2 linked regions of the Arabidopsis thaliana genome follow. The protein of the gene in region 2 binds, or shares a complex with, the protein of the main gene of each other region. Each region holds a gene or a part of one and is shown on either strand. Other genes may lie near its edges.

What was found.
Region 1: CIPK23 (region 2) and CBL1 share a complex: the UniProt entries of both Arabidopsis thaliana proteins name them as parts of the K(+)-channel calcium-sensing kinase/phosphatase complex.

What each region holds. Positions count from the first base shown.
Region 1 is NC_003075.7:9,814,014-9,820,027, forward strand, and holds CBL1 (calcineurin B-like protein 1), read left to right. Parts: upstream 1-2,340; 5' UTR 2,341-2,597; exon of another isoform or gene 2,598-2,733; intron 2,734-2,973; exon of another isoform or gene 2,974-3,005; 5' UTR 3,006-3,128; coding exon 3,129-3,207; intron 3,208-3,621; coding exon 3,622-3,704; exon of another isoform or gene 3,705-3,967; coding exon of another isoform or gene 3,968-4,003; coding exon 4,004-4,063; intron 4,064-4,167; coding exon 4,168-4,276; intron 4,277-4,366; coding exon 4,367-4,419; intron 4,420-4,539; coding exon 4,540-4,620; intron 4,621-4,716; coding exon 4,717-5,010; 3' UTR 5,011-5,340; downstream 5,341-6,014. Other genes in the region: AT4G17610 (tRNA/rRNA methyltransferase (SpoU) family protein), read right to left, coding at 1-266, 369-475, 563-656, 742-897; AT4G17616 (Pentatricopeptide repeat (PPR) superfamily protein), read left to right, coding at 5,595-6,014. UniProt on the Arabidopsis thaliana protein: Acts as a calcium sensor involved in the signaling pathway during growth and development and in response to abiotic stresses. May function as a positive regulator of salt and drought responses and as a negative regulator of cold response.
Region 2 is NC_003070.9:10,652,773-10,660,055, reverse strand, and holds CIPK23 (CBL-interacting protein kinase 23), read right to left. Parts: upstream 5,257-7,283; 5' UTR 4,787-5,256; coding exon 4,562-4,786; intron 4,471-4,561; coding exon 4,408-4,470; exon of another isoform or gene 4,269-4,407; intron 4,111-4,268; coding exon 4,039-4,110; intron 3,953-4,038; coding exon 3,845-3,952; intron 3,737-3,844; coding exon 3,656-3,736; intron 3,517-3,655; coding exon 3,463-3,516; intron 3,366-3,462; coding exon 3,240-3,365; intron 3,064-3,239; coding exon 2,974-3,063; intron 2,855-2,973; coding exon 2,735-2,854; intron 2,656-2,734; coding exon 2,530-2,655; intron 2,316-2,529; coding exon 2,199-2,315; intron 2,103-2,198; coding exon 2,046-2,102; intron 1,966-2,045; coding exon 1,891-1,965; intron 1,773-1,890; coding exon 1,691-1,772; coding exon of another isoform or gene 1,674-1,690; exon of another isoform or gene 1,585-1,673; coding exon 1,532-1,584; 3' UTR 1,156-1,531; downstream 1-1,155. UniProt on the Arabidopsis thaliana protein: CIPK serine-threonine protein kinases interact with CBL proteins. Binding of a CBL protein to the regulatory NAF domain of CIPK protein leads to activation of the kinase in a calcium-dependent manner.

The sequences.
Region 1 (6,014 bases), on a different chromosome or scaffold from region 2:
GCAGCATTCAGAATCAAATTCAGAAGATGGCACGACAATGGAATTGGAAATGATCCAGACAACTGTGCAATGTAGTTTTCATCCATATCTATTGTATTCAAAGAATCACGGAGGCAGAGGTCGCCCCATTTGATGAAATCTGATTCTTCGTGTTGACGCATTCCCATCGAAAAACCAACTGATCTTAGTAAAAATGGCACCAAGCTCACTCCCAACATATCCAATACATTAGTCTCGATCACTACATCAAAGAACGATTCTACAATCTGGTACAATCAAACAAAGAAACCAAAAGAAACAACAAAATGATCAACAATCTCAAGGAGATCAAAACTCTAAGGACTATAGTCAACAGCAGAAATTTCTACCTTATTAAGCATATCCAAATCATATGCACGAACCATCTTCATCAATGGAATAAACACTCTCCACACAAATAGCTGCAACGCATTATGATTATCCGCAGCAACAAAGCCTGCTTCAACCTCATAACCATCAATTAAACAATTCTGTAATCACTAACACATCATACATATCTAAAAATTCAAAATTGGTAACTCACCAAAATTCTTTAGTAGATGACAAAGCCCAGCCACCAATGAAGCTATGTGGTTGCAATCATCAGAATCAAATCTCTTGTCCCCATTTACCGTATCCTATTCAAAAACATGTTCAAATCTTAAATTGAACAATCCGAAGCAAATTGCCGAAGTGTGAAACAATAAACCAATCAATCAATACCTCTAAACGAAAAGGGAATTGCTCAATGAGAGATTCGAAAAGAGTTGAAGGAGATACGCCTGTGGAGCTTAAAACACAGTCAAGGAAAGCAGGAATAGCTGCTGGTGGAACTTGCTTGAAGCTCAGTGACAATGAAGTAATCACTGACGAACCCATTTCAATTGAAGCTTCGAACTTCAAAAAAATTGGCTGCAAGCAGCCAGAATAGATGAAGAAACGTAAACGAATTTGAAATTAGTACAGAGGGAAGTGTTACGAGGAATCTCTCTGTTAAACCCTTTCAAATAATTTTCATGGCTTAGGACAGATAAACCCTAGTCGTATAATTAGGGGGGAAATTAGAATTATTGATAAGGGCTTTCTTGGGCTTAACTTAGTATGATTGGGCCGTATGGGATAGACTTCAGGAGAAGAAAAAAAAAAAAAAACCGGAAATTGTTCGGGGGATTGAACCCGACGTGAATCGAACACGCAACCTTCTGATCTGGAGTCAGACGCGCTACCATTGCGCCACGGATCCGGATGTTATTATGTTGCATTTATAAAATTATAATACCGTAGTATACGCAAATTAAACAAAACATTTTGAGGACGCGTTCCCAACACGGCCGGTGACCAAAGAGTCAATTTAAGCCCGCTTTAAAGATATCAAAATGATATAAAACTCTAATTGATCGAGTTAACGGCAGGAGAATCAAAGCTACTAATCATAATCAAGAAATTTAATATATATACGCTATTATTATTGTTTTGAACGATAAACACGTGGTCTGGTCGTGATTAAGGTCCTAATTATGTCAACGTTTGCCTGCCACATTGCAGACCGAAGTACTAATTCCACACCGACTGGTCTACGACATATTTAATTCATAAACACAATACTTTATAATTAAATTGATTCTTGTAGAGATTTGGCTTCATGATCTGATTTATTTAGTTAATAACCATTTCAACAGATAATTACAGTTTAGAGCCTTTTTCCAGTTGTCAAGAGTGTTATGGTTTTAAAATGGCACCCTGTAAATATCACATATGTTAGTGGATTTATTTTACCAAAGAAACAAAAAATGTTAATGGATTAAAAAACTTGTGTTTTTTTAGATAGCAAAACCAAAAGAAGATATGGTGACCACTAACACGATCAGTCGAAGACAAATGTTTCCCAGACTTTATTATTGGCGTTTCCATTTTGCATATTAGTCAAATTATGGAGCATCGCAAATATCTAATAAACTAACTATATAAAAAGTTATTATAATACAGGGTTACCAATTCCGTATATTCAGAATATTCCTAAGAGGTGCCATTTTGACTAATAAAATGGACGGATCTTTGATTTATTCCGGAAGTGAATGGATATTAGAAGAAACAAAAGAAATTTTGAATTTCTTGTCCAAAAAATATTTTTCCCATTCTTAGTATACAGAAACATAGAAAATATCGTGTATGCTTACGTAACAATCAAGTTGTAAAAAGAAAAAAAGACAGAAGATAAATAGTACAGAATGAACATAACAGAAATCAATCTATGGAATTAGGTACAATTAGGTTCGGTCTAACTGAAATTACATGACGACAGAAAAAACTGAACTAAACGCCGATTCTATTAACTTCCAAAACTGACTCGTCTCACACGCGCTTACTATGATTCACACGTGCGAATATGCCATCATATAAGCGCTACTAAAATTCATTCCAAAGGAAAAAGAAAAATAAATAATCGATCTCAACCGTCCGATCATCCATCTTGCCATCACCGTTCACCAATCTTCTTCGTCTCCTCTCTCTTTCTCTCTTTTTGCTGTTTCTAGCTCCTCTCTCTCTGGATCTCGCCGGCGAACCGTTTCTCTTGGGTGGTGAGTGTTGCTTCTTATTTTTAAGAATCTTTTTCTTTTATTTCCATCGAATTTCGTTTTTTTGAGTTTGATTTTTGGCCTGTGGAATTCTCGATGTTTCTACATTGATCGTCTGGTTTCGAATCGTGTTTTACTGGTACAATTTTGATTCCATCTCCGTATCTTATGGATTCGAAGAACTTTGTGTTTTTTTTTTCTTTCTTCATTGATGCTACTTTGCTAGGGTTTACACTTTTTTCTTCCATGGTAAAAAAATTTGAGCAAAGTTGTTGAGATTCTTCTAGACTGTTTTCAATTTTACGTTTCACAAAGATTTTTTTAGATGATTTGTTTCTAATGAAATGGCATTGTTTGTGTTCTGTTTCCATATGTGTAGATTTTGAAAATATGTTTGTGATGATTGTGCAGTAAACAGTAGCAATCAAGCTATAGAATCTCAGATATCGCTGAATTAGCTGTTGGATTTTATCCGCCTTTTCTTCGTTATCCGGGGCTCGGGTATAAGGTTTCATCGTCTTATTTCATCTGTAAATGGGCTGCTTCCACTCAAAGGCAGCAAAAGAATTTCGAGGACACGAAGACCCTGTTAAGCTTGCCTCTGAGACAGCTTGTAAGTTTACTCGCGCTATAAGTTTAAACCTCCTCTAGATTCATTTCTCTCAAAGCTGCATGTTCATTTGTTTTCTGATATGAGATGAGAATCATCAGTTAGATTCAAATCATTCTTTCTCTGTTCACTGATTTAGTTTATCTCCGGTTTGGATTTTTTTAGTTTTGTGTTTTGGAGTCTTTGTCTGCCTAACAATTTCTAGTAATGATCCTTCAAAGTTGGTTAACACTCTATCTCATGTTTCTTGTTACCAATACCATCACCTTAATCTTGTTCCTTAACTTGTCAAGACGAGTTCTCTCTCCATGCAAATTCTAAATGTGAATTATTAGTCTCTTTGTTTGTTTGTTTGTTTGTTCCTGGTAATTCTTTGTTTTGATCTCGTAGTGTTGCTTGTTTTTTTCTCTTTTCCAGTTAGTGTGAGTGAGGTTGAAGCATTATTTGAGCTATTCAAGAGCATAAGCAGTTCGGTTGTTGATGATGGTCTGATTAACAAGGTACAAAGTTTGTTTCTTTTGACCCAATTTGGATCTTTTCATGACCCCATCGTTGTATCTTTTTGTTCTTTACGCTATTCATCTACAGTATTTTTCAACTTAGTTGACTTTATTTGAGCAATAATTATTCTTCCATGACGATATGTCTGTTCCATATTGCATCGATTCAATGTATCGTAGCCCTTAATGTTTGACTTGAACTTAACTTATTTTATTGATTGCTTTGATTTTGAATTTTGAAGCCTTCATGGCCCACCTTGTTTATGTTGTTTTTTAATCCTGGCTTCACATGTATGCAGGAGGAGTTTCAACTTGCTTTGTTCAAAAGCCGGAAGAGGGAGAATATATTTGCTAATAGGGTAAAATCTTAATTCTTCAGGCTTTTACAAGATTCATCTTCTGGAAGAGTGATCTAAACCAAGATAATATGTCCATTATCCTAAACAATATTGCTTTTCCGCAGATATTTGATATGTTTGATGTTAAACGAAAAGGAGTCATCGATTTCGGGGACTTTGTAAGATCACTCAATGTTTTCCACCCCAATGCTTCTCTAGAAGACAAAATAGATTGTAAGTTGACATAAGATAGTTTCATATATAGGTGTTTATTGAAGCTTTTGTGAAGAGATTTATTGATTCTGGTCTGCCATTTTTTCTCAGTTACGTTTAGGCTTTACGACATGGACTGCACGGGTTACATTGAACGACAAGAGGTAATACTAACTTGCAAGCTTTGAATACTAGTCATGATAGATCTTTGCCATGTTCTTGAGTATTCATCTTTTACTTAATAACTTTGCAAGAAATCGTTAATGAATGTGATATATTTGCAGGTCAAGCAAATGTTGATCGCGCTTCTCTGCGAATCTGAAATGAAACTGGCTGATGAAACCATAGAGATAATACTCGATAAGGTTTGTTGTTGTCTAAGGCTTTATTTTTCTAGATGGTATACATTTAGAGATGATGTTCTTAATGTGGTTTCCTTCGTCCTTCTCATATATGAACAGACATTTGAAGATGCAGACGTGAATCAAGATGGAAAAATTGATAAATTAGAGTGGAGTGATTTCGTAAACAAAAATCCATCATTGCTTAAGATCATGACTCTTCCATATCTCAGGTATATTACAAATTGCCTTTTATGGAAACCAAAGAAAACTGAAAAATGCCAAATGAAATGTCATATTAACTTGTACATAAACAATGCAGGGATATTACGACAACGTTTCCGAGTTTTGTCTTCCATTCGGAGGTCGATGAGATTGCCACATGAAGAAACAAACTGGTTTAAGACCGAGTAGATTGCCACGAGTTGGAAGAACAAGTCTGAGCTAATCGGTGTAATCAACATCTGTTTGTAAACAGTAGTAGAGCATATTCTCTTGAAATTGTTTGGGTTACTTTTTTCTTCTCACAACAGTTTAAAATTTTGGGTTTTTAGCTTACAAAAAAAAAAAAAGAAGAAGCGCGTAATCACCAATCCTTCACTTCATATAGTTAGGAAATGTTAATGAGTTTGTACATATTACATCATACGTTTGTTGTAATTGTTTTTTTTCAAGTAAAAAAGTAAAGATTTGTTACGTTTACTCGGGGTTCTAATTGTTCCAATGGAATCTTATACTGCAAAAACGTGAATTTGAGATTTTGTTGGGTCCTTAACCGCAAAAGCGAAAGTACGAATGTCCTAGGACCCGACCCGATGAAATTTACAGTCTTGCCACTCTTCTCTTGTTACAGTGTTCCTCTCTTCTCTCTCGATTTCGAAGTTTCCAGCAATTTAGGGTTCTTTCTCGATTGGAGAATTCGTATGTTGTTATCATGTTCTCGTCATTGTTGTGCTTTCTTTGTTAAATTCTAGATTTGGAATCGAAATTCTAGACTAATGTTTAGGAAACGGAACTTAGTTCTAGAATCATTTCGTCGATTCGATAGCGGTAACGTAGAAACCCTAATTTCATGGGTCTTGTGTAGTCGCACCTCAAAGCCGTCTCTGTTCTGTACTAGTGTTAAACCTGCTAGATTAAACTGGGAAGTTTCTTCTCAAGTAATTCTCAAGAAGAAGCTAGAAACAGCTCTTAAAGATCACCGTGTAGATGATGCTTGGGACGTGTTTAAAGATTTCAAACGCCTCTATGGATTTCCAGAGAGTGTAATCATGAACAGATTTGTTACTGTGTTGTCTTACTCGTCTGATGCTGGTTGGCTTTGTAAGGCTAGTGATCTTACTCGTTTGGCTTTGAAGCAAAATCCAGGTATGTTAAGTGGCGATGTGTTAACAAAGTTGTCGTTGTCTCTAGCGAGA
Region 2 (7,283 bases):
AATCATTGGTAATATTATTTCTTTTATACTCTCACGGATTTGATCCATTCATCTCTTCAAGATCTTCAGTAGTAACAACAATCTTAGCTTCATCTAAACTACAAGCAGTGGCGGAGGTAGCATATAAGGAGGGGGGTCAATTGACCCCCATGAACTTTATATTTTTATTATTATAAGGTAAGTTTATATATTAATTAGTAGATATTTTGGGTTAAGTTTATAGAATGACCCCCATGTCATGTGATCAATTTCTGTATTTGACCCCATACATATTCATTTTCCACAACTTTAGTTTTGATTTTTCATTTTTGTTGGCTAAAAATCTGTAACATCTTTCATATTCATTCGATCTCTTTAATTAAAAAATCATAGATCAAGGTAAACACAACAACTAATCAATCTCCACATTATACTAAACATTTTGATAGAAAAACAATATTTTGAGGATAAAAAATACTTAATACAACTGAAAACCAAAAAAAAATGAAGAACATGCATATTCTAATTGAAAAGTGAAACATTTCTAAAACTATATATATATATATATTTCAATTAAAAAATAGACTATTTAGTTTTATTTTGAAACAATTTATACTTTATATATATATATAAAATGACCCCCATGAAGAAAAACTTTGCCTCCGCCACTAACCACGAGGACCAAACTCTTTCTCCACATCCACAACAGCCTTAGCTGTTTCTAAACCAACAGGACCAACCTCCTCCTCCACATCTACAACATCCACAACAGCCTTAGCTTCATCCAAACTGTGAGGAACAAACTCCTCATCCACATCCACATTAGTTGTTTCCAAATTATGAAGACCAACCTCCTCCTCCTCCACACTCTTAGCTACAGCCTTACCTGTTTCTTAGCAATAAACAAGAGAGTAATACAGAAGAATAACAAAACCCCTAATTGAAGAATTGGTGTTCTTGTTCACATCTTCTTCGCCCTCAATTATTAATACAGAGTAACTTGGCCACCAAGTTTTCCATCTCTAAATTTTTGTTATAGTATTTGGTCCGACATAATCTTTATTGATATTTTTCTTTCCTTGATTTTGGTTTTAAAATCTCACTAACTTCAAGTCATGCTATATATTCAGTTTGTTTTGTCTACACTGATATTGGTTTTCAGTCCGCTTTCCTTTTTCAGGTTTTAAAATTATGAAAATAAATTTCGATTTGGTTCACACACAAGTGTTAGTTTGTTTTCAGTACATTTGAACTGAAATATCTATCGAATCTCAGCGTCCGACAATATAGAAATTGCAAAACCAAATCTGTAAAGCTTTTACTTTCCGGTTAATCGATTCAAGCCAAGAACCTCGCAACACGCATATGCTATTCACAACATTCCATGGAATCAAACATGATTAAAATATCAATAATCCCCATTCCCCAATATAGTTTCAAACTGCTTCTGCTCCACTTCTTGACGCTTCCTTTTGTATTAACTTCAAAACCACTCCGTACTACTATAGTAATTTATAACGAACAAAATCTATATTAGAAAAAAGTAAACAGCTTATGTCGACTGTTTTGCAATTGTCCGGTTAGCCATGGCACCATTAGTACCACCTGAAACATGAAGAAACAAAACAGGATTTGTGTTTACATGTTTCGTTAGTTTCTCCTTTTCTAGGAGCTTTATCTAAAAAACAGAGTATTCAAGGCAGATACTTACCACCATCGGTTCCTTCCTCTTTCTCTTCGTCGATGGTTTTCCAAACAATGTCCTTAAGTCCCGTGGTAAGGTTCTTGTAAAACTAAAAGAAGAGCAAGAAAGGATGCAAAAAGGTAAAGATTCAAACATCAGTTACTGGAAGACCATTTGACAAGCTCGGGTTTGATACAACCTGATCAGCATTAATAACCCTTGCATACCTTGTGGAATTCCAATGTGTCACCCCCTGATTTTCGCATTTCAACCATGTAAAGAGATGGAGCAACTTGAAAAACCTGAAGGTAGATGTCAATTAACTTAAATTAGGTTCAGCCAACCATACAAAGGGTGATCACTGGTCATTGTGAAAGCTAACCTCAGTGGCAACTGCCAACTGACCCTTGCGGCCTGATTTCTCTCCTGTCAGCTTCATCTGAAGGAGTTGAGAAATGGTTAAAGGGTCTATTCAGAAGCAACAAACCAATACACAACTCCACAGCATTGGGTAAATACGTAACAGTATTCTAACCTTGTAGTTATTTGTCTTGACATCAAACCCCATAGGTGCTGCCGCAGCCTCAATTTTTGTAACTATCTCATTAGCCGAAGATTTGGAAGTAAATCGAGTTTTTCGTTTCACCAGCCCCTGAAATCAGAGAAGCTTATCAATCAGAATGACGACTTCTATCAAACTAAGTACGGGCTTCCAAAGAAAAGTATTGGTCACTAAAATTTTGTGGCAAAGCTACTTCTTATTAGGTTTGACCAAAACCGCAAAAAGATAGTTAAAAATTGTCAACAAAATAAGAGCCTTGGGGGACGAAATTTAAAGACCAGCTTTACGTATCAGACTTCTGTACCATTTGTTTTTCGAAAAGTGAACCGAGATTGAGACCCTGGGATGTCGAGATGAGCTCAAAAGCATTCATCGTTACTGGTGTTTTGAGTCCTTCTTCTCGCCTCTCCACAACAAGATTCTTAGACTCCTATTAACAAACAAAAACAACTGAGCAATCATCCCGGACAAAGTACCGAAAAAAACAAACAAAAGAACACTAGCCTTACCCCTGAGTCATCAAAGATTGCATCAACATCATCAAGGCTGACATCAGCATTCTCAAATTTAGGTGCTTTATACCCTTTTTTAAACCACTCATTTTCAATGACCTCAGCAAATGTAATCCTCTGCCCAATATAAAAAATCAGTGTAAGCCTTCAGATCTACTCAATCCTATAGAAGCTTTTGCCTCTTCAAAGGAGAGATCCTCTAATATAAATTATATAATAGGGTAAGAAAAATATACCGTTGCTGGATTGGGATCCAGAATTCTTTTGATTAACTTCTTAGCACTTGCAGAGAACCAGGGAGGGCAAGTAAATTCTGCTTTGAATATCTGTAATTATGAAGAAAGAAAATCAGGTGGCTTTTATGCTATATACGTCTCATACAAAAATGACAGAGGCTTTTATACAGCCACCCAAATGCACCTAGACCTTGAAGCCTTTCTGATAGCATGTAAAATGATATGTATCAAAAGAAAAGCAAAAGAAGAAGAGGCAAGCGTAATACCTTTTTATATAACGACGTCAGGTTAGAATCTTCAAAAGGTAAATAACCAGCCATTAAAACAAAGAGAATTACTCCACAAGACCACAAATCAGCCTTCGCTCCATCATAACCTTTGTTGTTGATTACCTAGGGAGAAAATATAGAAGGTTACTGAGACTAGAAAATAATAGAATTCAAGTTTTGAGAAAATTGTGTGTCAGTTTTCAGTAGCAGTTGCTAATACCTCCGGAGCAACATAATTGGGTGTTCCACAGGTTGTGTGAAGTAACCCATCCTCCTAAAGAAAAAGGGTCACAAAATCAGCTTTTGAATAAATCATGGAAATCTTTCTCCTTAGAAGCCATAGTAGCTGAATTATCGAACTATGATATTTACAATGAAATGATAGAAAAAGAAATCAATATCTCGATGCTCACTCGAACTTGCTGAGGTAGAGCGCTCAATCCAAAGTCAGACACTTTCAAAGCACCATTAGCATCCAAAAGCAAATTTTCTGGCTGCAACCAGAATGTGCAACATGATTCAAACACATCAAACTTTTATTCTGATGCCAATTGATTCACAAGAAACCCTATGCAAGAGGATCACAAAGTAAGATTCCTAACCTTAAGGTCTCTATGATAAACTCCCCTGCTATGACAATAATCAACCGCATTAATCAGCTGTTGGAAATACTTCCTCGCCTCATCTTCCTTCAATCTCCCATTGCTTGACTAATACATGACAATTCTAAAGAATTAAGATCTCATTTCCACATAGTATTAAGAAAAAAAAAACACATCTTTCAATGAAATCTTACAATTTTATCGAAAAGCTCCCCACCAGTGACGAATTCCAAAACGAAGTAGATCTTAGTTTTGCTAGCCATCACCTGAAGAAGAAGAAGAAGAAGAAGAAGAAGAAGAAGAAGAAGAAGAAGAAGAAGAAGAAGAAGAAGAAGAAGAAGAAGAAGAAGAAGAAGAAGAGAATCTGTAACTACAAAGATACCAAAAAAATACATAGAATAATCAAATCCCTTATATTACATACATATGATTAGCCAGGGACCACAAATATGTTCCATAACTTCAAACGAATCTCAGCTTATAGCACAAATCTATAGAACAACAACAACAACCAAAACGTGCAACACAACTTTGAATTCAGCTTTATAGTATCAGAATCAAACCTCAAACATACGAATGACATTCGGGTGCTTGATCAATTTCATCGTCGAAATCTCACGCTTGATCTACAAAATCCAAAATCAAAGGTTATATCACAACTGCGTAAATCAGATTCCCAATAAGAACACAGCAGCTGGAGAATTGTATAATACATACCTGAGCGATCATCTTATTTTTCAGAACTTTCTCTTTATCAATAACCTTAATAGCGACATTATCACCATTCTCAACATTTCTAGCGAATTTGACCTTAGCGAAAGTTCCTTCACCCAAAGTTCGTCCAAGCTCATACTTACCAACTCGTGTCCTACCACCAGAAGAACTACCAGAAGGCGTTGATCGTGAAGGAGTCGATCGTGAAGGCGTTGTTCGAGAAGCCATCTCTCTCTCTATATATATATCTCGGTCTCTTATATATATATAGATAGATCTCTATTGAATCAGGAGGAGGACCTCTTCTTCTTGCATGGCTGCCATACTTGGGATTTCGCAACGCTCATCGTGAGAGATCTGCAGAAGAATTAAAACCCTAAGGGACCGGAGACCATATAAACAGCCGAAAATCAAAATTCAACTCTCGTGTGCGGAGAAAATTCAATTTGGACGAAGAAGAAGACTCATGAAGACGAGATTTGTATTTGAAGTGAAATTTTGTCAGTAGGGAAAATTCTGGGAATCGTAAATTTCGGCTGCTTTAGAAAAATCGAAGCCGGTTCTGGGAAAAAGCGAGTAACAGCAAGCGAGAGAGAGAGAGATTGTGATTCGATGGTGGAAGGAATTTAAAAGTTAAATTAAGAAGTAAATTAGTTAAGGAAATGTTTAATTAAAATTCTGTTTAGGGATTATACGAGGAAGGTTGTATCTGTAGGTTCTGACGTATACTATAGTTTACATTTTAAATTATTCTAGGCTTATCTTAGTCTTTGATAATTTAAATGCAAACGTTATGGACTTATGGTGATTACAGAAAATTATGTCATCCTTTTTTATCAAATATAAATAAAAGTAAATATTTTACTTTTTTACATGCCGTGTAATTAGCTGTCATAATTTTTTAAAACAAAATTTCGAAAAAGAAAATAAAAAATATGATATTTTCTCCAACCGAATAATCAACGATTTCAAAAGAGTTAAAGAACGACAGTAAAGAATTTATAAATTTTTCTTTATCTTTAATTTCTCGTAAAAATAAAAACAGATAAATTAGTACAAAAAAATTCTTACCTAACTTAAATAATATTCTCGAAATTGCTCAATTAAATTCTAATTAATATTAATTATTAAAATATATATATATATATATATATATATATATATGCAAACTTTTAATAAAAATATTGAACTAAGTCCACCACTTATCCAATTAGCTGCCATCACTTATCCAAGTATCTTTTTATACTCCGAGATTCCAAACATGTGTACTTATAAGATTTATAAAACGTAAGAGGATCTTTTATTTACTCTAATAAATACTATTGATTAGATTTGAAACGTCCAATTGAACTTTTGATGTTATGGAAAAGCCGTTACCAGTATCAAGGAGCTACGTGCCCTTTTCAATACTAAATGTTTCACAAAAGGGGCACTTAATGATACAAACCATTAAACATTAAATTTTCGATGGTTCGATCAAATGTTTAGAATCTTCTGTCTAGATTATATATGTGTTTGTGTTTCTATAAGAAATAATGCTCTATTATAAATACAGTATACAGTTATCAACCTAACTAGTTATACTTGTTTTTTCAACCCAAAATAGTTTAAACCTAGTTTCTGATTTTTATGGTGCTCATCAAAGAGAATGTTATCTAATAATCATCGTATTAGCATAAAACAATAGAACCAAATCATTGGTGGGCAAATGTACATACACATGACCTTGCCACGTTTTCTTGAAAGGGTTTGACTTTACAATTGATAGCCCATGAGGCCATGACCATCATGATGCATATTTTTAAAAATAAAAGTTATCTGATTCATATATATTCATACTCGTTTAGTCGTTGAATGTAAATTCTCAAATCTTTTCATCATAATTTTCTTCAGTTGATGATCATTGCAGATGCTTTAGATTGAAAATTATATTTAATCTCTTAAAAACCCTAATGTGTAAATAATGACTTTCTTATCAAGAAAGTATATTCCCGGTCAGTCATTATAATATTTGACCTCGGAAATAAAAATAAACCGACCCACGAGTTCGTGTTTGTGATCAGAAAACTAAATTAACGGAAGTTAACAGAAACAATCATGTTCGAGTGTCTGTTGGAGGCAACCAAGACATTATTATTTGCTTAATTAAAATGATTTTACAAAGCGTACAATATCTCTTTCTAACCTAATAATACCAAAACTAAACCCTTTAACAAAAAGAACATAACACCAAAATTCAATTCTAATAAGAATCAAACAATAATAATCTTTTTAATCGGTCGAGTTAACTGTACTTGAGACATATAGTCACAATTATTTTAAATCTATGTTTGATTATTTTATACGTAAATATATTTAAAAGTTCATCATTAGTAATTAAATTTTGAACTTTAACGGTAAAAGAAAAAAAAAATAACGTAAAATAACGTTGTATTATCTGTATATTTGTCATATATGACTACATTTATTTCAGACATAGTATAAACTTGGTTGATGTTTCTCTTGTGATTAAAACATATATTTCAGTGAGAACATATACTCGCCAGGTTTCTCGGATGATAACTAATATCCCTTTATTATTTTAAGGGAAGTACAAATTGAAAGTTTGTTTAATTTGGCCTCAATTTTGATTTCAATTTTGGATTTTGTTCTCTGATATTCAAAATCATTAAGGGTAATTTGGTATTAACAACCTCCTAAACTTTATATGATCCGATTCAATCTA